Linked DNA regions of Macaca fascicularis. The protein of the gene in region 1 purifies or fractionates together with the protein of each later gene. This does not show direct contact. Links are inferred from orthologs where the notes say so. Each region holds a gene or a part of one and is shown on either strand. Other genes may lie near its edges. The genes, in order: NCK1, GIT1, PAK1, WAS, TNIK, WIPF2 and WIPF1.

Region 1 (3,500 bases):
GGCACTACTCTGCCTTGACTTGGAGTGTGGGCCTAGATTTACAGAAACTGCATGTTAACACTTATGACCTTCACTGGTCTTCTGCATTGAACACCTGCTATGAGTCAAACTTACCTAGTCCTTGCCTTTTCAAGTCAATTATGCACACTGCTGCCAGAATTATGTACAAAGAACTAAGTTCCAGGTTTCATTTAAAACAAAGCTGCTTTTCTTTTAATAAAAAATATCTTACCTAAGGTATCTTTTAGGTTTTTTACAATAGATGCTTTCCGAGCACTATTTTTCCTTTCCACATAGTTAGAAGGCACAAAACCTGTTTTATTCATGGAATTTCGAACTCGCCACCAGGACTTAGAATCATCCAGAAGCCATAATCTCTCATTTTTCTTGATATCCAACTCTTGTTCTTGTTGGGCCACATAATCAAATTTGGCTACTACCACCACTTCTTCTGCCATCTTTCAGCAGCTTCAGCACTGTAAACACACGGAAAATATTTTTATGTAAGGTTGAAGTAGTATTAGTTCACATGCTTTTCAAAAGAGACACATCTAAAAATCTAAAGACATAAAGATGAAAAGTAAAAAACATGGAATAAAATACATGAGGCAAATACTAACTTAAAGAGACTGGTGTGGCCATGCACGGTGGCTCATGCCCGTAATCCCAGGACTTTAGGAGGCCAAGGCAGGCAGATCACTTGAGGTCGAGTTTGAGACCAGCTTGGCCAACATGGTGAAACCTCATCTGTACTAAAATACAAAAATTAGCTGTGCGTGATGGTGCACGCCCGCAGTCCCAGCTACTCAGGAGGCTGAGGCATGGGAATTGCTTGAATCTGGGAGGCGAAGGTTGCAGTGAGTCAAGATCGCACCACTGCACTCCAGCCTGGCAGCAGAGGGAGAATCTGTCTCAATCAATCAACCAACCAATCAATAAAGAGACTGGTGCTGCTCTATTAGTATCAAACAAAACTTTAAGGGCAAAAACTATTACTAGCAAAAAAGTTCACTACCCAATGAAAAATATTCTACTCAATGTATGTAATATCTAAACTTTTATGTACCTAACAAGATAGTTCCAAAATATGTTGAGAGAACCACAAGGAGAAACTGACAAAACCATTACCACAGAGGACAATTTTTAACATATTATCAGAGTAATAAAACAATCAAGGAAGTAAAAACAGCCGGGCCTGGTGGCTCACGCCTGTAATCCCAGCACTTTGGGAGGCCAAGGGGGGTGGATCACCTGAGGTCAGGAATTCAAGACTAGCCTGGCCAACATGGTGAAACCCCATCTCTACTAAAGGTACAAAAAATTAGCTGGGCATGGTGGCGGGCACCTGTAATCTCAGCTACTCGGGAGGCTGAGGCAGGAGAATCCCTTGAACCCAGGAGGCAGAGGTTGTAGTTAGCTGAGATCGTGCCACTGCACTCCAGGCCTGGGCGACAGAGCCAAACTCAGTCTGAAAAAACTAACTAACTAACTGACTAACTAACTGACTAACTAACTAACTAAATAAATACACTATTAAGGCTAGAGAAGAACCGATATCACAACCAGTAAGTCTGATTTACAGACTTACTGGTTAATATACAGAATATTGCTTCCAAACAGAATACAAATGAAACACATACAAAAATTAATCAAATGCCAGGCCATAAAGAATGTCTCAACGTTCATGTAACTGGTATCCTACAACCACATTCTCCAACAACCATAACAAAAAGATAACTTTTGAAATACCACATTTGGAAACTTCTAAAAACTAATGAATCTAAGAAGAAATCATATTGAATTTTAAAAATACTTAGAAGTAAATAATTTTAAAAACTATACATCTAACCCTGTGGTATACAGCAAGAGGAGTGTATATAGACAGATTTTCAGTTTTAAATAGTAACATTAAAAAATAAAAAGAGTGGCCGGGCGCAGTGGCTCATGCCTGTAATCCCAGCACTTTGGGAGGCTGAGGTGGGTGGATCACAAGGTGAGGAGATTGACACCATCCTGGCTAACACGGTGAAACCCTGTCTCTACTAAAAATACAAAAAAAATCAGCCGGGTGTGGTGGCAGGTGCCTGTAGACCCAGCTACTTGGGAGGCTGAGGCAGGAGAATGGTTTAAACCCAGGAGGCGGGGCTTGCAGTGAGCCAAGATCGCGCCACTGCACTCCAGCCTGGGCAGCAGAGCGAGACTCCGTCTCAAAAAATAATAATAAAAATAAAATAAAAAAACAAAATTTAAAAAGAGCTAAAAATAAATTAATGAACTGAGTATCTATCTTAAGCAGTTAGAAAAGTTAAAGAAACATTAGAAAAACAAATCCAACTAGAAAATGAGCAAAAAAACACAAAGAGCCATTCACTGAAGATTTACAGATGGCAAATAAGCAGATGAAAAGGTAATCATCATCATTAGGTATTAAGGAAATGCAAATTAAAACCACATTGAGATGTCACTACACACACTTGTCAGAATGGCTAAGAGTGGTAATACCAAATGCTGACAAGGGTAAGCTAAAATTGGATCACTCATACACTGCCGATGAGAGTGTAAAATGGTACAGATACTCTGCAAAATTGTCTAACAGCTTCTCGTAAAACTAAACATGCAACTACCATATAACCCAGCAACTGTACTCCTGGGTATTTATCCCAGAGAAATGAAGACTTATGTTTACATTTTACATGAATAACAGCAACTTTATTTCTAACAGTCAAACACCAGAAACCACCCAGATGTCCTTCAACAGGCAAATAATTAAACTGGTACGTTCATACCAAAAAGGAACAACTGATGCACAAAACCTGAATGAATCTCCAGGGAATTATAATTGCTCAGTGAAAAAAGCCAATCTCAAAGGTTAACTATATGACTCCATTTATATAAAACCCTCAAAATGACAAAATATGGAAATTAGAAACAGATTAGTAGTTGCCAGGGTTAACGGGGTAGTGGGAACAGGAGGGAAGTAAGTATGGCTATAAAAGGGCAACATGAAGAAATTTTGTAATATTCTTGTGATATTGTACTATACTTCTGCCAGATGTATTACCAGTGGAGGAAAACAAACACTGGATTTCACAATAAGTTCTAAAGTTTTCAGAATTGCATGTGGATCTATAATGATCTCAAAATAAAAAGTTTTATTAAAGTAAAAACTGAAAGAGAAAACACAAATAGTCAAAAAGTATTCAAAATATCCTGAATATCTTTATAATTAAAGAAATGAAAACTAAACTGAAATACCATACTTTATCAGGGTGACAAAAGTATCACCAATATTATCTAGTGCTCCCCAGAATGTACAAAAATAGCATTCTACATTACTGGTATAATAACTAAAAATTTATATAATGCTTTTAAGTCTTTTAGTTATGGCACTTTTCAACATATACAGAAGAGAGCAATAGTATAATGAACCCTATACCTATCACCCAACTTTATCAATATTATGACTTGTGGTTGGTTCAGCTATCCCCCTAATTTTTGGT
Region 2 (4,032 bases), on another chromosome or scaffold:
AAAAGGCGATGGAGGCAGCTTTGCATGTATTTCGGGTGGTGTGACTCATGAGAATTACTTGTCTCCCCTAGGGAAGGAGCCTGCCCACCCACAAGTCACTGCCGCTCTGGCACCGCTGGGATAAATCGACCAACTTGAGCACCCCTGCCAAAGGACTGCCCCCATCTGTTACCGAGCAGGAGTCTCTGACTTCGATAACCCCTCCTCAATTGTCACCACTGACCTGGCCCCCAGGTCTGGCCCTGGGGACCTCTGCCCTCTCCCCACAAGCAGAGTGCCCGGGCCTTTTGCTGCTGCAGGGATTGGGGGTTGGGTGCACGCGCGGCACACGTGTATGGGGGAGCATGCTCAGTGCGGGGGCTGTGCTCATGTGAGGCCTCCAACTAGGCTCCCTGCCCCCCAGCCCACCCACGTCCCTCACCTGCCTTGCCTTTGCCTGCCTCTTCGTGTGAAGTCCAGGAAGAAAGGCTGTCACCTGAAACGGCCCCTCTGTGTTATATGCACCCTTTCTGGACGCACACACCTCTGGTGGCCCAGAAACACCGTGTGTATAAGGCGGATGACAAGTGGATTTGAGTGCACACAGGCACAGTGGTCACTCCTTGGGAGGTCTTTAAAAACCGCCCAGATTCCTCTCTGGATGGAAGCATGCATGGAGAGATAGATATATTTTTAGTCCAGAGGCAGGGGAATACACTGCCTGACCTTTCTAGCACCTGGGCGTCCATATTGTTGGCAATGAGCGTATTCAGCAAGAGTGTGACACACGCACACACACCTGGACACACAGATGTGGACACCTACAGGACCGGGAGGCACACCTCACCCCAACCAGAGATAGAAGGGTACCCCAAGGCACAGCCCCTTTGACCTGGAGCGGGACTTGGGCCTCCAAGTCCTTCCTGCCTAATCCCCGCCCTCGCCATCCCTCGGCCCAGCGTCCCCCAGGCCACCCCACGCGGAAAGTGAAGGGGAGGGGGCTGTGAGGGTGACTCACATTGCCTCCGGGCCAGGCGAGCGCCGCAGCGGAGGCCAGGACCGCAGGCCCCGCTGCCCGCCGGGGCCGGGCATTAGCCGCGGCCCCTTTAAGCGCCCCCGCCCCCTCCCGCCCGCGCCCGGGCTTCCTTTCTCCAGGGGGCGCGGCCGGGAGCGCGCGGCGGGGCGGGGGTGCGGCCCCTCCCCTGGTGGGCAGGGCCTGCGCCGCTTCCTGCAGGAGCGGCCCGGAGCCGCGCAGGGGGCGGAGAGAGGAGTCGCGAGCGGCGGCGGGGCGGCGTGGGGCGGAGGGCGCCCGAGGGCGAGCGGGCAGGCGGGCACGGCGGGTTCCGGGCCAGCCCCGGGGCGGACGGTTGGCCGGGCGCGCGGAGCCTCGCCGGGGCCTCGCCGGAGCCGGGCCGGGCAGCAGGGGCCGCCGCCGCCGCCCGGGCCCGCCGCCCGCGCCCCCCACGCTGGCCCAGAGGGCTGCGGCCGCGTCGCCGCTGAGGATGTCCCGAAAGGGGCCGCGAGCGGAGGTGTGTGCGGACTGCAGCGCCCCGGGTAAGCGCGGCGGGGCCGGGGGCGGGACCGCACAGCCAGGCCGCCGCCGGGCGGGCGCCGGGGCCTGGCGAGAGCGCCGTGCGGGGCCGGAGGGCTGGGCTGGGCTGGGCTGGGCGGGGCGGGGGGCTGCGGCCTCCGGGCTCGGCCCCCGCCCCGGCCACTGCGGAGCCGCGTCCTTGGCGGGAGGGCTGTCCTGGGGGGCCCATGCTCCCTGGAGGCCGTGGACGAGCGAAGAAGGACGTTCCCGGCGCTGCCTCCCGCCCCTCGGTCTGAGGGAGGCGGGCAGCTGGCTGCCCCTCCACCTCCATCTCTATCCGACGGAAGCGCCAGCCTGGGGTGGCAGGAGGGCAGTGGCGGAGGCCGGCAGGGCTTGGGAGGTGGGGGCGAGTGTGGTTTTGTGTCATCTCAGTGCCACCCCCGCGTCTTGCACCTGCTGCTCGCGTGGTCGGCACGCCTGCCGGGGTGGTGGAGGGCAAGGAGCAGAGGGCCGGGCAGATGCGCCAGCGGGGCCTGGATACCGTCTCCTCAGGAGCAGATGAGCAGTGGCTACTCCCAGGACTCCCTGCCGCGGGTTCCTAAGGCTAGCGCTTTTTTGCGGGGCCTGGCGTTCAGGGCCAGTTCAGACCCGGGTGTCTTATCGGGAGGCATCACCAGGCCTGCTGGTGGTGACTGGGAACAGCTCGGCTGGACCCTGCTGTTCCTATTCACCGTAAGGCCCGCTTGGGAAAGTGAGCTTGGCATCAAGCTATCCTGGGCCCCGGCCCCTCCCTGTCCCCTAGCCCAGTCTGGCGAGAAATGGGTGGGAGGCACTGCCTAGATTCCCCGCATCCTGCTGGCTTCCTAGCCTGCCTCCTGGCTGTATTTACATGGTGGTTCTCTTCTTTTTCCTAACAGAGTCAGGACTGGGCTGGAGTGAAACCCCCCAGGCCTGCTGAGGAAGTCAGGGGTAATGATCCAAGAGTCTGCTCCCTTCTGATGGGGGAGGACAGCCAGTGACTGGGCTCTGCAGCTGGCCTGGGAGGGAAGCTCTAGCCCCCATCCATTCTTTCTTTAGAAAAGGAGCTATCTCCCTAGTAGGCCCCTGGGCAGGCTTCGGAGGTCTGTGAACTCTAGCGGGGCTGTGGGCATTATTAAGAGTGAGATTATGGGGTGCTGGTTTGTGGGTCCATAACTTTCAGCCACCCCTTGAGCAAGCCCAGGACCCCACAGGTTGAGCCTCACAGATGCTCTGGTGGTTCTGGGGGTGGTGCCAAGCTAGACTGTTTGGGAACTGTGACCCAGCAGGGCTTGGGCACAAGATACTCTCCTCCTTGGGGCTTTTGGTTTAGAGGGCCCTGGGGTTGAGGGTCCATACCCCTAAGAAACTATGACTCCCTTCCCCCAGCTGCAGGCAGGTCTGGGGATGGCAGGGCTGAGGACACACCTTGCCTTATAAATGTCTGCCCACTGTTCCGCACCTCCATGGGGTGAGCATGGCATGCATGTGGAGGAGAGGCTTAGCAGGCACCCTATCGGGGAAGCCTGGGGCATAGTGTTGCCTTTGTTCCCAGCTTACTCTGTAACCCCAAAAAGACTTTCCTCACTGTGGGGGCCTCAGTTTCCTTAATTAGGAGGCAAAGAAATTGGAGTAGAAATGGTTTCTGGGGGGGCTGTGATCTGATTCTGGGGTGGAGGGGTGAAGGGCAGCACCAGCAAGGCAGCAAGGCAGTTGTCCTTTCTCTGTTGCATTGAATGTCATCCAAAGCCTCTGGATGCCCAGTGGGCTCAGGGAGGAATGGTGGGCATCAGATGTGTTGGATTGCCCAGCTCCTACTCCCAGGTCCTCATCCGTCAGAGGAATTTGTGCCCCAGATGACTCTTTTCCCCTGATACACAATAGAGGTCAGGAAGGTGGTGAGAAGGTGAGGATGGTAGGGTGGGGAGGATATGGACAGTCTTACACATCAGCCCACCTAGCACCAGCGAAGTGTCCAGCACATGGCAGGCGCTCCCTGAGTGTCTGGCTTCTTGTCGGGACCCTGGCTGGCTGCTTGGGACTATCCCACACCTGGACCCTAGGATGCTGGCCCTGGCATGCAGCGACGTGTTTGGTCTGGGTCCTGTGGCATCTCAGGCAGAGAGGCATGAGGGTACCCAGCAGTCTGGAGTCCAGATCCAGTGCCAGCCCCATGGTGTATCGCTCCACCCCAGGGTCACAGCCTTCTTTTATTGTGATAGGAGCCCTGCAGTCCCAGCCACAGGAGTGGGGCCAGGGACTTTTTGTGCTTGGTTAATTTGGGGAGTCATGGAGGTCAGAGGTGAGATGCAGCCTGCTCCCAGAGAGCCCCATCCTCCCTCTGCTCCCGGGCCTGGGCACACGGGACAAGTGCGAGTGTGTTGGTAGGCAACTGGACATGGTGTGGCTGCTCTGGCAGCTTGTGCCACCTTGTCAGGCACCGTGTGCATTCCTGCCTGCCTGGGGAGTCCAAGAGAGGAAGGGGGCAGGGAGCCCTGGAGAAT
Region 3 (3,384 bases), on another chromosome or scaffold:
TGTAACATATTTCGTAAGTTTACAAAGTACTTTCAAATACACTATCTTATTTTTACAGATATGTGAGATGGGCATTATCATCATCCTTACTTTACAGATAGGGAAGTTGCACATAGTCTCATGGCCTTTAAATGTTCAGCCTGATCCTTAGGTCATACTCTTTCCAGTATATATACACAGCTGCTACTTTGCATCCTAGAGCATAAAGCAGCTGACCATATTTCTAGAATGTGTATATGGAGAACAAGAGAGAGCCTCAGTTGGAGTTCAAGGTGATTCACCATTTTTATTGCCAGGCCTTGTACCTCATTGCCACCAATGGGACCCCAGAACTTCAGAACCCAGAGAAGCTGTCAGCTATCTTCCGGGACTTTCTGAACCGCTGTCTTGAGATGGATGTGGAGAAGAGAGGTTCAGCTAAAGAGCTGCTGCAGGTAACTGTCCCTGTGCAGGGAAGCACCTAATTCAGGGAATCACTAAACCAGGCCTTTTTTACTTCATGTTTGTCTGTAAGGTACTGGATATTATAGAACTAGGCTTCTCTTTTACCATTTCCTACCCTCACTCTGTTCCTACTGCTCTAACTTTTATCCCTGGGGCTTTGCTTATTTATTTTCTTAGCCTCTTTCTTGGCCTGTTAAAACTCTACACATTCTCCTAGGCTCAGTTTACAATCATTTTCTGAGCACCTATTGAGCTTTGCTTGTAGCTTCCTTCCTTCCTTCCTTCCTTCCTTCCTTCCTTCCTTCCTTCCTTCCTTCCTTCCTTCCTTCCTTCCTTCCTCCCTCCCTCCCTCCCTCCCTCCCTTCCTCCCATCCTCCCTTCCTCCCTCCCTCCCTCCCTCCCTCCCTTCCTCCCTTCCTCCCTTCCTCCCTCCTTCCTTTTCCTTTCCTTTCTTTCCTTTCTTTCTTTTCTTCTTCCTTTCCCTTTCTTTTCTTTCCTTTTCCTTCCTTTCCCTTTCCTTCCTTCCTTTCCTTTCCTTTCCTTTCCTTTCCTTTCCTTTCCTTTCCTTTCCTTTCCTTTCCTTTCCTTTCCTTTCCTTTCCTTTCCTTTCCTTTCCTTTCCTTTCCTTTCCTCTCCCTCTCCCTCCCCCTCCCCCTCCCCTTTCCCTTCCCGCCTCCCTTACTCTCACCTCCCCACAGGGTCTCACTCTGTCACCCGGGCAGGAGTGTACAATGGTGTGATTTTGTCTCACTGCAGTTTTCCTCTCCTGGGTTCACTCAAGTGATCTTCCCACCTCAGCCTCCCAAGTAGCTGGGACTACAGGTACATGCCACCATACCGGGCTAATTTTTTAAAAAGTTTTTTGTAGAGACGCGGTTTTGCTGTGTTAGCTAGGCTGGTCTCAAATTCCTGGGTTCAAGCGATGTGACCACCTCGGTTTCCCAAAGTGCTGGGACTACAGTTATGAGCCACCATGCCCGGCCTGCTTGTATCTTTCATTAGCACATCCTTTGTTCTGTTTGAATTAGTCTGGCAGAGTTTGTTTGAGTCTTGTTGAGAAATGGCTCTCTGACATCCAAATCTTACGCAAGTTATATTTTTGCTGGGATTAGCTCAAAGGATACATTTTTAGCAAAGGAACATACGTTTATTTTATTTTATTTATGTTTTATTTTTTGAGACAGGATCTCTGTCTGTTGCCCAGGCTGGAGTGCAGTGGTGCAGTCATGGCTCACTGCAGCCCCAGCCTCCCCAGGTTCTGCTGATCCTCCCACTTTAGCCTCCAGAGTAGGTGGGACTACAAGCGTGCACCACCATACCTGCCTAATTTTTATATTTTCTGTAAAGACAGGGTTTTGCCATGTTGCTCAGGCTGGGCTCAAACGATCTGCCCGCTATAGCCTCCCAAAGTGTGGAATTACAGGCATGGCATGAGCCACCATGCCCATCCATGGAACATAAGTTTAGAAGATAATTAGTGAGTATGGCTTTTGGAGTCTATACTTTCTTCACTGGAAATCCTCAGATAATGGCAATGATACTCTACTTGTTGAGAGTGAGATTTTGCCAGTTTGTGGAGAAACCCGGAGTCAGGGGTTTACCAGGCCTTTTATACTCCCACCCCCCTAATCCTGATAATTTTACATGGTTGAAAAAATTGCCTTTAGCAGGCCACGTCATTTGTATTTAACATATTTGTTTCCAGTACAATTTCTTATAACAAGTGTTCTTTTATTGTATTGCCCACTAGTGATTTAATAGTAAGTATCATGTGCAACTTTATGAAGGCATGCACTGTCATTTATTTTCGTATTATAAAGCCCAGGAGTGACAGAGCAGGGCAGGGCAGGGCAGGACCTAGCATACTGCCCTGTGTTAATTATGAATCTTTCCTACTGGATTATAACCTCTATTTTATTAATCCCTGAGTTTCTTGTTTTACCTAGAACCTGACTTAGGATAGGTACTCAAAAAATATTTATTGAATTGAATGAAATTGCTGGAAGAACCTACATTGGAATATCATCCTCTGGAACATATTTATCATCTCTTTGTAATTGAGGTTACTGATTATGGAGTACTGGCCTATTAGATATGAGATCTGGGTTCTGCCAAGTGTAACCCATTAGTCTCTAGTATCTGTTGGGACTAAAAGTCTCTTAGTACAATGTAGGACCCCTTTTGCTGTTCATGAGAGTTGTATTCTGCAAACTGTAGGCACTGGGAAATGTGTAAATACGATATGCTAAGCCTATGATTAGTAAAGATACCATTCTTAATTAAGTACCAAACTATAGTTCTTGAAAGGTTAGTGCCCTCTAAAGTTTTCTTCCTGATACAGTAATATAACTAGTAATAAATGCATTATATTGAATCTTTACCATATTTTAGGCACTAAACACTTTATATATTTAGGCACTAATAAGCACTTTATATATTGTCCTTCACAACAACTCTATGAGTTATAGGTTCTGTTATTCTCATTTTTACAGATGAGGAAACTGAGGTTTCAAGTATTTAGTAACTTTTCCATGATAGCTGATATGTGGCAGATCCAGGATTTCAGCCTGTTTGGCTCCGAAGTGTGTATGCTCTTGGCCACTGCTCTTACAGGCTCAAAGAGTATCACAACTGGAAAGCCCTTAGGGCTCATCTAGTCTGTTTTGTTTATTAGACAGAGAAGGAAACTGAGGCCTTCCAGTTCGGTGTTGGATCATGCTGCTCTCAACTTAGGGGAATTGTAGAAACATGTGATCTGAGAAAGCTGGCTTTTTAACTTGTTCGTGTACATTGTAAATATTGAAAACCATGACTTTGAGAATCGTAAATCATAAAAGCTTCACATCTGTTTCTCCTGTGAGAACACACTTATGGACAGAAATACATAGGATGATATATATTGGAATTCCTATCTTCATGATTTAGCTAGGATCTTTTATT
Region 4 (4,081 bases), on another chromosome or scaffold:
ATTAAACAAGATGTTGTTCAGGCATTCATATATGATATAAAGTTCCTTTTTTTTAAAAAAGGGATGTGCTGGGCACGGTGGCTTATGCCTGTAATCCCAGCACTTTGGGAGGCCAAGGAGGGCGGATCATGAGGTCAAGAAATCGAGACCATCCTGGCCAACATGGTGAAACCCTGTCTCTACTAAAACTACAAAAAAGTTAGCTGGGCGTGGTGGCGCGCGCCTGTAGTCCCAGTTACTCAGGAGGCTGAGGCAGGAGAATCACTTGAACCTGGGAGGCTGAGGTTACAGTGAGCTGAGATCGCGCCACTGCACTCTAGCCTGGCGACAGAGTGAGACTCCATCTCAAAAAAAAAAAAAAAAAAAAAAAAAGATGAGCAGAAAGTAATTTGGGAGCTGCAGGGAGGCAAGGGTAAGGGATGGGGAAGTGAACCAGAGGCATATGCGTCATTGGCAGTGTCTAAGCACTCAGGATAGGCGTGGATCACAGGGGCTCACTCTGTAATTAAAAGGAAAAGGGTTTTTGTTGTTGTGTTGTTGCTGTTGTTGTTGCTGTTTTTGAGACAAGAGTCTTGCTCTGTCATCATCCAGGCTGGAGTGCAGTGGTGCAATCTCAGCTCACTGCAACCTCCACTTCCCGGGTTCAAGCGATTCTCCTACCTCAGCCTCCTGAGCAGCTAGGACTACAGGTGCATGCCGCCATGCCTGGCTCATTTTTGTATTTTTTAGTGGAAATGGGGTTTTGCCATGTTGCCCAGACTGGTCTCGAACTCCTGACCTCAAGTGATCCGCTTGCCTTGGCCTCCCAAAGTGCTGGGATTACAGGTGTGAGCTACTGTCCCCAGCGAAAAGGAAAAGTTTTAGTGTAGTAACCCTTCAGGACTAGGGGCCTTGGGCTTCAGCCTCAGGCTACCTGGGTGCTTTAGGAAGGAGGCCACCCAGGCCCATGACTACTCCTTGCCACAGGGTGCCCTGCACACAGATGTGCTGCCAATGGCTAAGCTCTCACTGCCAGCCAGAGGGAAGAGGGTCTGAGCCAGTCAGAAGGAGATGGGCCTCAGACAGTAAGAAAGGAGGAGGAGGACCCAAGCTGATCCAAAAGATGGGTCTAAGCAGTCAAGTGGAGGAGGGTTCCAATCTGATGGTAGAGGGCCCAAGCTCGGCCTAACGAGGAGGAGGCCAGGCCCACCAAGGGGCCCCTGGAGGACTTGTTTCCCTTGTCCCTTGTGGTTTTTTGCACTTCCTGTTCCCTTGCTGCTCACTGCGGAAGTTCCTCTTCTTACCCTGCACCCAGAGCCTTGCCAGAGAAGACGAGGGCAGAAAGCACCATGAGTGGGGGCCCAATGGGAGGAAGGCCTGGGGGCCGGGGAGCACCAGCGGTTCAACAGAACATACCCTCCACCCTCCTCCAGGACCACGAGAACCAGCGACTCTTCGAGATGCTTGGACGAAAATGCTTGGTGAGCTGGGGATCTCCTGCCCCCGCCCCGTCCCCACCATTTCTTCCTCTTCCTCTCCTCCTTCTCTCTCTTCCCCTCCTCCCGCTCCTCCTTTCCCTCTCCATCATCTTCTCTCCTAGACTCTCCTGTTATCATCCACCCTCCCCAGGAAGATCTCAATGTCTACTTGCCTTCCCTCTGGCTGCAGCTCTTCCTTCGGGCCCATGACTGTCATGAGGCAGGAAGGACCAGGTCTGGCTCCAAGACCTTGTGGCTACCCCTGACCAGACTCCACTGACCCCTGCTTTCCCCTCCCAGACGCTGGCCACTGCAGTTGTTCAGCTGTACCTGGCACTGCCCCCTGGAGCTGAGCACTGGACCAAGGAGCATTGTGGGGCTGTGTGCTTCGTGAAGGATAACCCCCAGAAGTCCTACTTCATTCGCCTTTACGGCCTTCAGGTGACCCCCCCCCGCCCCTGACTGGACTTGCAAGCCAGTTCTCAACCCACAAACCCAGATCTGTGTCCATATGTGTCCACAGTCCCAAGATCTCAGACCTGATCAGTGAATCCCTGAGCCCCAGAACCAAAGACTCATCCAGATGGCAAACTCTGGCTTGCCTTTCTAAGTCTGCAATGGCTGGCCCCAGTCTCCATATCAAGATCTCTAAAGCCCCCAGTATTAGTCTGCTGCCTAAGCCTAATCTTTTCCACAAATTCCAATAAATGAGGACTGTATTTGTACCTGAACCTCAAATCTATTCTAAACTCAACATTTTGCATCCCAGGAATCTCTCATCAAAACTCCTGAACCCCAGATGTTTGCCAAGCTCCTAAGTCATAAATCTGTTCAACAAACCCCAAAGTTGAATATTCCATTGATCCTTGAACTCCAATTCTGTCCTTTTAAATCCACAGCACAGACCCCAGAATTCCCATATTAAAATTCCTGAACACTCAAATACCGAGGTGGTTCTTAAGCAAAAAGTCTTTTCCACAATTCCCCGACCTGAACTTTCTAGGTTTAAGCCCCAAATTCATCCTTCTAAACCCATAAAGATGGACCCAGCATAACTTCCAGATCCCAAGACTGTCAAATATTCACCAAACTCCTAAGTCATAACTCTTCTCCACAAACCCCAAATTGCACTTACTTTAGCTGGACCCTCCGCAAAACTCCCAAGTCTACGTGTCTGAACTTCAAATCTCATCTCCAACTCCCAAATACTAGAATCCTACCTGTCATGAATTGGGGCTGGGGTGGCAGGGGAGGGCATGGATTGAATCTATGAATGAGCCTCAACTTCCTAAGACTAGAGTCCTAAATTATGAAATTCAAGCTCCCAAGTCCCACATCTAGGGCCCCGAACCCCAAATCCAAACCTCTCACAAAAGTGTATGGCTCCCAGACTATACTCCACATCCACACCCTTAGATCTCAGCTCTCTGGTGCTGAGCTGGAAATCTCCAAACCAGACCATGAGGCCCCCAAATCCAGACACCCTGCTCCCTGCCCAGCTAACAAAGGCCTGCCACCCCTGGTGTGCCTCAGTGCCACTGTGCCTCCCACCCTACACCTCTCCAGGCTGGTCGGCTGCTCTGGGAACAGGAGCTGTACTCACAGCTTGTCTACTCCACCCCCACCCCCTTCTTCCACACCTTCGCTGGAGATGTAAGTGACCAACCAGCCCTCGGGCCTCACTTGGGGTGTGGAGAGGAGATGGGAAAGCTGTGGGGGGACCTGGGAGGCGGCTGACCCCAAGATATGTGCAGGACTGCCAAGCGGGGCTGAACTTTGCAGACGAGGGCGAGGCCCAGGCCTTCCGGGCCCTGGTGCAGGAGAAGATACAAAAAAGGAATCAGAGGCAAAGTGGAGGTGAGGAGGCCGCAGGGGAGGAAAGGAAGTTGGGCAGAGGTGAGTGCAAGCATGGGGAACTAGAAAAGTTATCTCTCATGGTCCTGGCTCCCAATCCATCTGTCTATCCACAGACAGACGCCAGCTACTCCCACCACCACCACCAGCCAATGAAGGTGAGAACTCTAGTGCAAGTAGCGGTAATAAGGGGCTAGCCCAGGAACCTGTGGCAGGGTTGTGATAGCTCTCTACACATTCTATCTTCCCAGAGAGAAGAGGAGGGCTTCCACCCCTGCCCCCGCACCCAGGTGGAGACCAAGGAGGTGCGTGCTGATTCTTCCCTGTGTCTCTGGATGGATGGGTGGGTAGGTGGAAGAGTGAATGGAGGAATGAGCAGTTGGATGGGTGCGTAAGTGGGTGAATGTATGGGTAGATGGATGGGTATGCGGATGGACGAGCGGGTGCATGGATGTGTGGATCGATGGATGGGTGGATGGATTGGTGGTAGATGGCTGAGTGGAGGGATGAGTTGATGGGAGGATAAAACTCTAAGTAGATAGATGCATAGGTGAATGGGTATGTGGATAAATGAATGAAAAGGTAGATGGATGACTGAGTAAATTAGTGAATGAGTGAATGAATGAACAGTGAATAAACGGCTAAATGACAAATTTCAGTCAGTGAAGAAAGCATGATTGAATGAATACAAGAGTAAATGAAAATTTTAACAAATCCATTAGTCAATGAGCCAGTGAATGATAAAGCATGAGGGAATGAAAAAAATAAAT
Region 5 (4,100 bases), about 43 Mb from region 1:
GGAAGGTGGAGATGATCTGCCCTCTGATTTGTGGAGATTACCTATGTGGCCTTTGGACCCACTCCAGCAGGCACACCTCACCCACAAGACTGGTCAAAGACCCTGGCCCCACATCTGCAACTGTCTCCACATCTGCATCTGCATCTAAGTCTTCTAGCCAGCAGTTCCTGGTCCCCAAGCTAGCTGTTGCCCTCTCTGTTTCCACACCTCCCAGCAGGCAGAAAAACAGCAGCAGAGCCCTAAGCTGATAGCCCAGGCCACAAAGAGCAATTTCAGTGCATTGTGCAAAGATATGTTTTCAAAATACAGATCACAAGAATGCACACCCCAAGTGTGATCCGCAGTCATCCGCCCGGTGGCCCTCAGCGGTTGCTCTCGTGCCTGCAGGCTCTGTGCTTGGTATCTCAGAAAACCTTCCCGAGGAAAAAGCCCACAAGGGACAAGTCCGGGCCCAACTTAAAAATCACATCAGACTGCTTTCCAGTAGAGGAGCAAGGTGGAGATTCCGGCCCAGGGAAATCACCGCAAACCCTGCACATTGTTCAGAACCTTTCCCCCTTTGCCACTGCCCCCCGCCTCCGCCACCCCGACCCCCGACCGACTCGCAGCACCCCACCCCCAGTCTGGGCCATCCATCCACCTGATTAACCCGCCGGCAGCAACTCCCAGCGCAGAAAGTAGGGCAAATGAACACACACAGTCGGTAAAGCAGGAAGCCACAGACCTGGCCAATGCACCCACCCTGTTACCAACCCCACCCCGCTGCGCAGGGGGCAGCCGGTTCTTGATGTGGCATTTCCACTCCAGGGAAATAGACAGCTTCCTGTAATAATGCATGAAGGAGCTTCGGCTGCCCAACTATCAGAACAGCCCATTTCAAACGGCATCTCTGTTTCTTCTCAACTCCTTACCTGCCTTGCTGAAGCCTCACCTCTTGGCCCAACAGATTAAGACGAAGAGAGAAAGCGTTATTAAAAGAGATGTGGAGGAAAAGGTTTAATTAAGGAGACCAAAGAGAAAGTACCACTTTGATCACAAAGGTAGCACTTTAATATAACAGTACAGAAAGAGGCAATGTCAGAAGTACTAGGAATCCAGGTAAATGGCCCCAAGATTCAGCATCAATCTAACAATGTATTCCTCAGGAGGGCGTGTGAACTTCCATACTTCATCCATCCTGGTGTCTCCCTGTAGAAAGCCACCATCAATTCCTTCTCATCCACCCTCCATACATCAAGTACATGCACTCGCTATTTTTTAAATTTTATTTTTGGTTCGGGAGAGGAAGAAGCAGTCCTTAAATTGGTGTCCAATCCTTCTCAGACACCCGCTGCTGCCACCATCCCCACCCCTCACCCCTTCCCAGCAGGCAGCATCTAATTAAAATGACAAGAAAGCTCTGCCCCCTTCCCCGAAGGAGTGTGTTGGGATCGGGAGTTGGGGGTGGGGAAGCGTCAAGGCAGCACTGGGATTCCTGGTATTCTGATCTCAAAACAACAGCAAAATGGATTCTGTATCAGTGATGTCTTAGTCAATACAATGAAACGGCGTCTGAGGTAATTCACGTGAAGGTAAACGCAAACCAGTGGGGCTGGGGGGAGGGAGGTGCTCTACAAAGGACCGGCCACAGACACGGGGAAAACACACATACACACACACACACACTCGCACACACTCCAGGGAGTTCCGGTCTGATTGAGGAAAAGCAGAAAACACATCCCTTTCACCTGCTTAAGTTCAGCCATAAAACTGAAACGTTACAGCCACAAAGTCAGAAAGCACAGGCAGGGCTGAGTTAAAGCCATAAATAAAGGTGAGTGGCAGACTGGCATTTAAGGGAGCGCTGAGAGGGCGCCCGGGTGCGGGAGGCAGAAAAGGGGGAGGGGGAGACAGTTGCCATCTACAAGACAAGCATAGCAATAACTGCCCCCTTGGAGCGGCAGGTTCGGCTTCGCGGGGACAGTCAGCCTCACAATGTCATCTTGCAGGTAGCTGGAAAACGTGAGGAGCCAGTGCCTTTATTCACGCTGGCATTCTTTTTGCAGAAGGGACAGTTGGGTCTCGCTCCTTGGCACCAGACAACTGCCCGGGGCGTGTACACACGTACACACCAACACACACACACACCTTTCATTTTACTGCTCTTACACCGGTATAAGATGAAAGCATAAGCTCCACGAGCTCCACGAGCCCTCGGGAGAGCCTCGGCCACGGCCAAAGGAAGACACGTACCGCACAGCCCCTGCCGTAGGGGCTCAGCCGGGAGCACCTCAGCAACCCCGAATCAAAACGGGAATCCAGGTTCCCTCCCCGACGCATTCTCCCGCTGCTGTCCCCCAGCCCCAGCCCCTGCCCCCAGTCCACGCACCGAGCCCATTCACCCTGACCCAAACCACTGGAAAGAAACCAGAAAACATGTCCTGCTCACCCTCAGAGCCGAGAGATCTATTTCATCCAGGCTTCGAGCCGGGGAGTCGCTCGCCATGTCTACTTCTTCGCTGGAGAAATGGACCAAAACCACCCCCAAGCTTTTCCCTTGGAAATTCCACCTTGGTCTATTTCACTCGCGTCCTCATGCGGGTATCGCGCCAGAGGCCCCGGGCCCAGCCTCCCCCGCCCACCCCAGCCCCACAGCGCCGGATCCCGATCCTCCGCGCGTCGGTCCGCCGGGTCCGGGAGCCCAACCTGCGCGGATCTCCAAGCCCGGAGCAGCGGTGCGTGTGGGCTGAGCGCCCCGATCGGCTAAGGGCGCTGGGGCTGCGTGGGTGTATTTAAATGGGACATGCTTCTTTGCTTGTGCGTGGATGGCGGCTGCATTGGCTGTTATAATGAGACACATCAACTCCTCCACTCAGCGGGGGGAGGGTGGGGGTGGAGAACCACACAGAACTGTCTATCACCGCTTCCTGGGAGGAGTGAAGGGGGTGGGGGGGAGGCGGAGGAGGCGTGGTCTTGGACTGGGGAGAGGCCGCGCTTCCTGACCCGGTCCCTCCCCGCCAGCGTGGAGGGGGGAGGGGCGCGCACCCTTTCCGCCCAGGCTTTTGAGGGCTCCTGGGGCCAAATCCGAAGGGCTGTTCCTGAACCTTGACTTGCTTATCATAGGGACCCAAGCTGTATTTTTGTGTGGCCAATTCGTGCACTGCAGCAAAATGGCCCTTCAGTCTCATCTTGGGGTTTCTCCTCGGTTCAAATGCTCTCCCGCTGAGAAAAAGCCGGAGGAAAAAAAAGCGACACCCTCCCTCCCCTGTTAATTATTTGTGGGGCCGGAGTAAAGCGGGCTGGTGCAATCGGTGCATATAAGGACTTGTGTGCAAGGAAGGGGATCCGCCTCCAGGCGCGGAAAGAGTGGGGGAGAAGCGCACACGCACAGTGCACTCAGCTGGGCGCTTCGGCAGTTTGCAGCTGCGGCGGGGTCGGGTCCAACCGCGGTCCCCGGAATGCGGGACGGCGGGTCCCGGGTGCTGGTCACTCGCCGATTCGGGACCGGGAAGGTTTGCCAGAAGCGGGAAAGATGGGAGATCTGAGCGCTCTCTTGGCATCGCCACACCCAGTACCTGCTCGTGCCGCAATTCCCCACGGAAACAACCGAGTTGAACCGAGAAGCTTGTTCTTTGGGTGCAGTAGCTAGAAGGCTTCAGGTAACTCCAAAGCCAGCACTGGGTGAGGCAACACACGCCGCCTCAGGACTCAGCATTTCTTTCAGGCTGCATTTTCGTGTCAGACCTACCCAGATTGATGGAGAAAGTTTGGCTGGCGGATAAGAAGTAACGCGGAATATGTGTACGTGAGAGCGATTTCACTTCACCCACTTTCTCATTTAAAGGTTGGATGTTTTACAGTGGTATACATGATCCTTTTTCTGTAATGAAGAGTGCGAAGTCGCTTCCCCCAATCCCCGCGCAGCCCTTCTTCTCCCGCCTTAGCCACGCAAAATACATACAAAGAAAACACTAAAACTGAACTTTTTTCCAAATACAGCAGTAGCTTTGAAAGCATTCTTTGCTCCTCTGCTAACAGCAGAATGTACTTCTGACCAGTGCACTGATGGTTTCTTAATCATGCAGTCTGAAGATCAGCTTCAAAATAAGGCTTATGAACGA
Region 6 (3,500 bases), on another chromosome or scaffold:
TGTCTCAAACCAAACACCTATCTTCCCACAAATTCGCAGTACTCCTAACCATCTGGCCATTTACTGCAACAGCCCAGTAACTGGTCTCTTTTTGTCACCTTTGTCCTACTGCAGTCTGTTATCAACATAGGTGCTAGTGATCTTTTTAAAAGGTGAGTCAAATCATACTACTTCTCTGTTTAAAACTCTCCAGTGGCTTCCCATCTCACAAAGTTAAATTCAAGGTCTTTGCAAAGTCCTGCAGTGTTCTCCCCTGCAGCTCCAGCTTTCCAACCTCTAAGTCCTACCACTCTTCCCTCCCTCAGTCTTTCTAGTCTTGCCACAAAGGCCCTCTTGCTGTCCCCAAAATGTTTCAAGAATACTTCTACCTTATGTCCTCTACATTTGTTGTTCCCACTGCCTGCAACAGCTGTTCTCCTAGATAACTAGTAAGCTTACTCGTCACTTTCTTCAGGTCTTTGTCAAATTTTCACCTTATCAGTAAGGACTGTCTTGACTCTCTCCCTACTGCTCCAATTTATCATCATCCGACCTCCGCCCCAGTACATCTTATTCCTCTCCTCTGCTTTGTAATTCTCTAAAGCATACTACATACTATGTATTTATATATTTTACTAGTTTGACTGTCCAAAACAAGAACTTTTTGTCTTTTCTATTTATTGCTATTTCCCTACCAACAGATCTGACGCATAAAAAGGTACTCAATAAACCCATTGAATGAATAAATGAATTACTGTCTTCAAGCAGTGCTCTGGGGAAAAGATAAAATCAATTCACAGCACGATAGGGAAAAAGGTGCTTCCAAGCACTTACCTGCTCCCCGACTGGGAGGGTCTCGGGCTGGGGGAGGTGGCCTATTACTCAGTAAAGAGGAGGAGGCTGAGGTGGGCGGAGGAGGTGCTAGGCCTCTGACAGGCCCTGGTGTCTTCCTATGCAAAGAATTGTGTCTCTGTGGCAGCTCAGGGGCTGACTCATTAGTGGGGCTAGAGGGTCCATTGGGGACCCCAGGAGGCTGGCGGTAAGGCGGAGGAGGAGGAGCCAGAGACTGGCCACTTGGTCCCGTTCTGATATTCACAGGGGAAGGAGGTGGTTTGACTGGGGGTGGAGCAGGAGGTCCCTCTCGACCAGGGTGAAGCCTCTGTCCAGGCGTCGGCGGCAAGGGTTTCTCTCTGTTGTAGGCGGGCGCTTTGTTGCTGTGCATAGGCAGAGGTGTGGGGGGTGCGTTGGCACGCCGCCCTGGGGGTGGCGGGGGAGGGGCAGAGGAGCTGTGCTTCATGCCCGTACTGCTGGTGGTATTAGGCCGAGAGAGGTCCGGTAAAGAGGGTCTCTGCATCCGGGGCAGTTCTGGGAGTGAGGCCCGGCTGCTGTCTGTATCATCCTGAGGACGCCCGCTGGCTGCAGATACTGGAGGCCTTGGGGCAGCAGCTCGAGAACTGGGGACTTGCAGGGCCGGCTTACCAGCTAGGTTCTCTACAAATACACAAACACGGGGTCAACAGAGCTAGACAGATACTGGTCAGTATCTCTACTTGACTCAGCTCCTTAGTGCAACCTGCATGGTAGCAGGGAAAGGACTTGCATAGTTCTGGGTTTTTGCTTTTTTGTGTGTGTGACAAAGTTTTGCTGTTGTTGCCCAGGCTGGAGTGTAATGGCATGATCTCAGCTCACCGCAACCTCTGCCTCATGGGTTCAAGTGATTCTCCTGCCTCAGACCCCTGAGTAGCTGGGATTACAGGCGCGCACCACCACACCCGGCTAATTTTTGTATTTTTAGTAGAGATGGGGTTTCCCCATGTTGGCCAGGCTGGTCTCAAAATCCTAATCTCAGGTGATCCACCCACCTCGGCCTCCCAAAGTGCTGGGATTACAGGCGTGAGCCACCACGTCCGGCCTAGTTCTAGGTTTTAATATGGTTTCAGGCTCAGGATAAATTGTTATTTATTTTTAAATTTTACTTTATTTTTGACAAGTAATGATTTTATGTATTTATGGGATACAATGCCTTGTTATATGTATACATTGTGGAATGATTAAATCAAACTAACATATCCATCACCTATTTTTCTTTTTATGGTGAAAACACTTAAAATCTACTCTACAACAGGCGCAGTGGCTCATGCCTGTAATCCCAGCACTTTGGGAGGCCAAGGCAGGTGGATCACTTGAGGTCAGAAGTTTGAGACCAGCCTGGCCAACATGGCGAAACCCCATCTCTACTAAAACTACAAAAATTAGCCAGGTGTGGTGGCCTGTGCCTGTAATCCCACCTACTTGGGAGGCTGAGGCAGGAGAATGGCTTGAACCCAGGAGGGGGAAGTTGCAGTGAGCCAAGATGGCGCCACTGCACTCCAGGCTGGGCCAGAGCAAGACTCCATCTCAGGAGGAAAAAAAAGAAAAGAATAAATAAAATAAAACTCTTTTAGCAATTTTCAAATATACATCAAGTATAATCAGGGGTCGTCTGATTATACCCCTGGGGCCACGCACCTGTACAGGTCAGTGACCTGTTAGGAACGGGGCACACAGAAGGTGAGAGAGCAAGCATTACCGCCTGAGCTCCGCCTCCTGTCAGAAGAGCAGCAGCATTAGATTCTCATAGGAGGGCGAACTCCACTGTGAACCGCCCATGTGAGGGATCTAGGTTGCATGCCCCTTATGAGAATCTAACTAACGCCTGATGATCTAAGGTGGAACAGTTTCATCCCGAAACCATCCCCGACCACCATCCATGGAAAAATTGTCTTCCATGAAACCAGTTCCTGGTGCCTAAAAGACTGGGGACTGCTGCAATAGATCACTAAAACTTATCCCTCCTGTCTAACTGAAACTTTGTACCCTTTGACCAACATCTCCCCTTTCTCCATCCCAACACCTACTGCCCTCAGCCTCTAGTAACCAACGTTTCACTCTCTACTTCTATGAATGAGTTCAACTGTTTCAGATCCCACATATAAATGAGATCATGCAGTATTTGTGTTTTTGTACCTGGCTTATTTCACTTAGTATAATTTCCTCCAAGTTCATCCGTATTATCAGAAATGACAGAAGTTTCCTTCTTTTCTAAGGCTAAATAGTATTCTAGTGTATATATACCACATTTTCTTTATCTAAATTGCATCCGCTTTCATTTAATCCCTCAGCTTTTGCTGTATTCTACTGTATAACTCCTCCCCTGCTCCCAAGTCTTTCTGCCCCCGACCTTTACCACACTCCTCAACTTGAGATGGCCCACTTGGGACATCAGAAATTAACACACCAGGGAAATATCCTGGGAAAGTACTCATCAGATACCTGAACCGTCCTTGGCTCCCACAGGTCGAAGCTTCGGCACTCCTCCTTGGAACAGACCTCCCTTGGGCTGCAGGGCAGCTCCTCCAGAGCCATAGCCACCACTGCTTCCTTTGGGCTCTGGAAAGCATACCAGTAGGGTTTTCATTTCACATGCTCTCAGCTGATGACCAAGTCAATCATGAGGGGAAACCCCTCCTCTGTCTGGGCTA
Region 7 (4,290 bases), on another chromosome or scaffold:
CTGAATTCCCTGTATTTGGTCTGTACCTTTTTCACCTTATTTACCAAATTCTGCCTGCATACCTGCTGTTTGAAACCGTGTCTCATATCTACCAGAAAGTAAGCATTCAGGCGCAGACTTCGTCTCTTTCTGAGCTACATATTCCTTTCTACCCTTACCTAGCATAGAGTATAACTACCACCTCTAGCAGGGAACCACAATGCTCAATGAGTATCTGGCTTGATTCCAACTGTGACCTGATTCGATGTGGGTCCCTGCTAGCCACAAGGGATAAATAAGCCTACCAAGCCTTCAAGAACCATGGTATAATTGTGGATTGCTGGGAAACAGCAGCAGAGAGAGCTCTGTGTGGAAACCATTAAGAATTCAGTAGACCACACTGAAGGGAAGGCTTCAGGAAGACCACAGCCCTGGGAGGTAAAATGCCAAATATCAGATGCTTAAAAGTAAAGGGGTTACAGCAACAAATAAAAGGCACTTTTGTTTCATTTATTCTCTCAGTATGTGTTGTGGAAATCACCTATGTTCCTAAAATTACAACCATAGTTAGGAACACCTTGAAATAGCAAAGACAATGATACAGACCCAGTGATGAATACTGTCTCCTAAAAGGGTCTCATGTCTGGTCATAGCACCTGAGACAGTAAATGTACAAGGTCAGGGCATACTACCCTCTCTTCACCACCCACCCTTCTGCTCATTATAGATTTCATGTCTTAGTGCTACACACCGCATGGTATCTGGATGGCCCTTGTATCATACTGCTTTTTGCTGCTTCCTTCACACCCCATTATCCTACTTGATCCTCATACCCTGTAGTGGACATAGAGCAAAGATCATCAAGCCCATTTCTTGGATGAGACAAGTGAGGCCCAAACTGCAATGATATGCCTAAGGGCACCAGAAAGTGGCTGAATACACCACAATCTGTAAAATGAACAAATAGAAGGAGGCATGAATCCCCCCAGGTGGAAATAATCTCATTCTCTTTAAATATCCCAGAATTTGATCTTATCTTGCTTACAAATCTCTTTGCACTACCTCACACAACCTAAAAGAGTTGACGTGTTTTCATGGAGCCAAAGTTATGGCAGGGGTTGGGTAAGTCCCAGGGAGGAAGACAATATTTCTGAACTGGTTTCATAACATCTGCAGAGTTTAGTTTCAATATTTCCATTCAACAGGTAATGGGCTCTCACGGGTGGCTGGGGATATGCAGACTATAGCACCTCCAGGTCCCCGAGAAACTCAGCCTTGTGGGGATGACAGGCAGGTAGACATACACAGTCACAGTAGAAGGCAGTGTTGTGTGCAGTGGAAAGGGATTAATAGGCAGAGTGCTGATAGCCTATCAAGGGTTTTCTCACCTCAAGAACTTAAAAGGTGATTTACAAACTGTAGTAGAACATTTCTTGGAGTTATTTTATCCATTACAAAAATTAGCATTTTTGAAGATGGAAAAATCTACCAACGACTCAAGATCAAGCTACAGTATGGTTTTGACATTGCTTTGGGAAGCTGGCAAAAGAAAACCCACCCAGCGTGGAATCTGTTCACGGGCTCTGCGGCTGCACCAGACTGGAGTCTGGGGCTACACGCAGCCAGGGATGGAGGAATGGGAGTAGGGTGGGGTCCAGAGACGACCCAGGGGGCAGGACGGACACCCGCTTTTCAGTAAAATGGACCAAGTCCACTTGGTCACTGAGCCAACTTGAGAGTTTCCCAGAGAACTCAATAAGGCCAGGAGACCGTGGCTGAAGAAGGAATATTCCATCGGGATTTAAGCAGGACCAGAAGACCTCGCCAGGCTCAGTTCCTCACACAGCCACACCCTTTGTTAATCGCGAAGAGCTCAAAGTCTAACCAACCACCAGTGGTCTGAGTTAGAGCTCTCTGCGATTAACAAAGGCTCACAGCGACTGGGTCAGCTGCTTTCCCTTACACTCGCAACGCTAACAGTTCTTTCTTTAAAAAGAAAAGTGTGTATAGTAGAAAAAGGTAGGGGACGCGAGACTGAAGTGAAGCTGTCTGGAGAGTTCGAGGGAAGCACCCCCCCAACCCCCGTTCCCACTCCGGGCGAAAAGCACTGACGGGGACTGGAAGTGTCCCCAAGGTCTACGCCGACCTGGAGCGAGCTGGCCGCCCGGGAGTGCCGGGAGGGAGGCGGGCTGGAGCGCGGGAGGGGCACGGTTCCCACAGAGGCAGGCGGGCGGTGCCAGAGCTTGAGCCGGCCCCGGGGGATGCCCGAGCGTCCTCCTCCGTCCTAGCTGGGGTGTAGGTGCGGCCCCAAGGCATCGCCGCGAAGCCCTTGCTCGAGACCTACGGAGATCGTGGGTCCCAAGCCCCACGGGGCGGCCCGGGTCCGCGGAGCCCAGCGGTGAGCCCAGCCCTAGGCGCGGGACCCCCGGCCGTCCACCGCCGCTTCCTCCCCGGGCCATCAGCGGGGAGCAGGACGCGCGGGCCGCAGGCCTCCGCGCGCCCGCGCCCACCGTTCGCAGGGGACGCGGCCTCGACGTCCCCAGTCGCCCCACCCGCGTCACCGGTGCCAAGCGGCGCTTCCAAGCCCCGCCGTCGAGCCCAGCCCCTCCCGGCGTTCCCCCCCGTCCCCGCCCGGGAGCCCGGAACCCGGGTCGCGCCAGAGGCGACGCGTCCCTTACCGCGCAGCGGCTCCGGACGACTCCACAGCCCCGCGCCGCGCTGGGCATTTTTTCTGGGAAACTTCTCCCGGGGTCCGCAGGGCTGAGCCGCGCGGGCAGGAAAAGCGCTCAGCGCCCGGAGGCTGCGACCATCCGGGAACTTCGCCGAGATGTGGGCCCTCCCCCTCGGCGCCGCGGCCCCCCCGCCGCCCCGCCACATGTGGACGCGCCGCGAGGCCCCGCCGGTCCGCGCCCTGCCCTCCGCGCTCCCGCCTGCCCCGCCGGCAATAGGGCTCCGCGCCCGCAGTTTCCCGCGGAGGAGCGCGGCGGGGCGGATGGTCGGGGCTGGAGTTCACAGTTTCCTCCGTCCCGCTCCCCTGCGCGACGAGGGGACCGAGGCCAGGGCGCCTGGGACAGGAGTTTGCAGAGGAGCGGGAACTGGAAGGGGAGTCTAGCCCAGGGCCTTTTCCCCCAACTCTTGAATCCTCTCCACCTTCTTGCGGCTGCTGGCAGGGGGATCAGGTGGGGGCGTCCCCTCTCTCCGAGCCGGAAGGAACGCCTTTTCCCACGCTTTCCCGTCTGCTCTCAAATAAAGAGGGTCCAAACTTTCATATATCTGAAATTCAAATTCATTTTTTAAAATGGATTTCAAATTTGGGTGAACCCCACAGAGGCCCAAGGTCCACACGCATCTGACTCCTGCCCACTGTGTGGGAACAATGTGCTGGGAAAGATGCTGCCTCTCCTCACCAGTCGGGTGGAATTGAATTGTTTTGCTGCCAGTGGGGATGGATTTATCATCAGCCACCCACATCCTTAAATACGGTAGGATCCACAGCAAACGTGGAGAAAACTGAAGCTCTACTCCATTGCCCAAGCTAACTCCTGCTCATCAGGGGGTTCTGACTAGCTCTGAGAGCTGCCACCTCCAGGCCCCAAAGAAAAGTTAACATTCACTCACTAAGACGATATGGCTACCGAGAGTGTGCATTTGAAAGGAATAACAACAAAAAGTTCTGCTCAATGTAATAACCATTGGATCATATTGTTAAAATATAAAGGCTGTGTATCCCTTTGAATAAAAGCAGAAAGGTGAGAATATAAAGCCACCTTTGCAAAATTATAACTGAGGAAATTGTGACAGTGAAAGAAATCATATGTACAACCGGCTCTATCTTCCTTCTAACCTTTAAAGTGTCCTTGTTCACTCCTGGGCGTAGCCGTTGGAAAAGAATTCAGTTTTTGGTTTGACTCTGAAACAAAATTGATAATAGCCCTTTCCCGAAAAGATCCGTTTCTTGCCTGGGGACCAGTCTGCCTTTGCAGGACTAACAAATTACCTTTAAGATTAGAAATTACAGTTTAGGGGTCATGCTGCCTCTGGCTCCAAGAGTCTGAACCTCCCCCAAATTGCTCCTGGGGATAACATTACTATTGTAAAACCTAGGATCTGTGCTTGAGATATTTTGCAGACCCTGAACTCAGTGGATCACACTACGACACCACCCAGACGGGTAATCTGGCTTAACCAGTTCTCCCATTCTACCCAGGAACAGAAAAGAGCAAGAAAAACTCACTTTGACTCCCTGTGATTCCATCTCCAACCTGGCCAATCAGCACTCCCCACTTCTCAAGCCCCCTACCTGCCAAATTA

Evidence for each region.
Region 2: the proteins of NCK1 (region 1) and GIT1 purify together in Homo sapiens (affinity purification with mass spectrometry; 4 studies listed by BioGRID and IntAct, with this or other methods). This does not show direct contact. The link is inferred for Macaca fascicularis from reciprocal best matches to the Homo sapiens genes NCK1 and GIT1.
Region 3: the proteins of NCK1 (region 1) and PAK1 purify together in Homo sapiens (affinity purification with western blotting; 8 studies listed by BioGRID and IntAct, with this or other methods). This does not show direct contact. The link is inferred for Macaca fascicularis from reciprocal best matches to the Homo sapiens genes NCK1 and PAK1.
Region 4: the proteins of NCK1 (region 1) and WAS purify together in Homo sapiens (affinity purification with western blotting; 4 studies listed by BioGRID and IntAct, with this or other methods). This does not show direct contact. The link is inferred for Macaca fascicularis from reciprocal best matches to the Homo sapiens genes NCK1 and WAS.
Region 5: the proteins of NCK1 (region 1) and TNIK purify together in Homo sapiens (affinity purification with mass spectrometry; 3 studies listed by BioGRID and IntAct, with this or other methods). This does not show direct contact. The link is inferred for Macaca fascicularis from reciprocal best matches to the Homo sapiens genes NCK1 and TNIK.
Region 6: the proteins of NCK1 (region 1) and WIPF2 purify together in Homo sapiens (co-immunoprecipitation; 3 studies listed by BioGRID and IntAct, with this or other methods). This does not show direct contact. The link is inferred for Macaca fascicularis from reciprocal best matches to the Homo sapiens genes NCK1 and WIPF2.
Region 7: the proteins of NCK1 (region 1) and WIPF1 purify together in Homo sapiens (co-immunoprecipitation; 5 studies listed by BioGRID and IntAct, with this or other methods). This does not show direct contact. The link is inferred for Macaca fascicularis from reciprocal best matches to the Homo sapiens genes NCK1 and WIPF1.

What each region holds. Positions count from the first base shown.
Region 1 is NC_088376.1:39,789,205-39,792,704, reverse strand, and holds part of NCK1 (SH2/SH3 adapter protein NCK1), read right to left. Parts: intron 743-3,500; exon of another isoform or gene 621-742; intron 477-620; 5' UTR 459-476; coding exon 233-458; exon of another isoform or gene 1-232. UniProt on the Homo sapiens protein: Adapter protein which associates with tyrosine-phosphorylated growth factor receptors, such as KDR and PDGFRB, or their cellular substrates. Maintains low levels of EIF2S1 phosphorylation by promoting its dephosphorylation by PP1.
Region 2 is NC_088390.1:35,093,513-35,097,544, reverse strand, and holds the start of GIT1 (ARF GTPase-activating protein GIT1), read left to right. Parts: upstream 1-1,232; 5' UTR 1,233-1,481; coding exon 1,482-1,533; intron 1,534-4,032. UniProt on the Homo sapiens protein: GTPase-activating protein for ADP ribosylation factor family members, including ARF1.
Region 3 is NC_088388.1:76,214,312-76,217,695, reverse strand, and holds part of PAK1 (serine/threonine-protein kinase PAK 1), read left to right. Parts: intron 1-296; coding exon 297-434; intron 435-1,200; coding exon of another isoform or gene 1,201-1,254; exon of another isoform or gene 1,255-1,266; intron 1,267-3,384. UniProt on the Homo sapiens protein: Protein kinase involved in intracellular signaling pathways downstream of integrins and receptor-type kinases that plays an important role in cytoskeleton dynamics, in cell adhesion, migration, proliferation, apoptosis, mitosis, and in vesicle-mediated transport processes.
Region 4 is NC_088395.1:48,838,757-48,842,837, forward strand, and holds the start of WAS (actin nucleation-promoting factor WAS), read left to right. Parts: upstream 1-1,281; 5' UTR 1,282-1,328; coding exon 1,329-1,460; intron 1,461-1,757; coding exon 1,758-1,898; intron 1,899-3,023; coding exon 3,024-3,110; intron 3,111-3,211; coding exon 3,212-3,314; intron 3,315-3,427; coding exon 3,428-3,469; intron 3,470-3,562; coding exon 3,563-3,616; intron 3,617-4,081. UniProt on the Homo sapiens protein: Effector protein for Rho-type GTPases that regulates actin filament reorganization via its interaction with the Arp2/3 complex. Important for efficient actin polymerization. Possible regulator of lymphocyte and platelet function.
Region 5 is NC_088376.1:82,933,349-82,937,448, forward strand, and holds the start of TNIK (TRAF2 and NCK-interacting protein kinase), read right to left. Parts: upstream 2,801-4,100; 5' UTR 2,486-2,800; coding exon 2,429-2,485; intron 1-2,428. UniProt on the Homo sapiens protein: Serine/threonine kinase that acts as an essential activator of the Wnt signaling pathway. Recruited to promoters of Wnt target genes and required to activate their expression. May act by phosphorylating TCF4/TCF7L2.
Region 6 is NC_088390.1:61,347,383-61,350,882, reverse strand, and holds part of WIPF2 (WAS/WASL-interacting protein family member 2), read right to left. Parts: intron 3,409-3,500; coding exon 3,292-3,408; intron 1,471-3,291; coding exon 814-1,470; intron 1-813. UniProt on the Homo sapiens protein: Plays an active role in the formation of cell surface protrusions downstream of activated PDGFB receptors. Plays an important role in actin-microspike formation through cooperation with WASL.
Region 7 is NC_088386.1:70,191,357-70,195,646, forward strand, and holds the start of WIPF1 (WAS/WASL-interacting protein family member 1), read right to left. Parts: upstream 2,801-4,290; 5' UTR 2,658-2,800; intron 1-2,657. UniProt on the Homo sapiens protein: Plays a role in the reorganization of the actin cytoskeleton. Contributes with NCK1 and GRB2 in the recruitment and activation of WASL.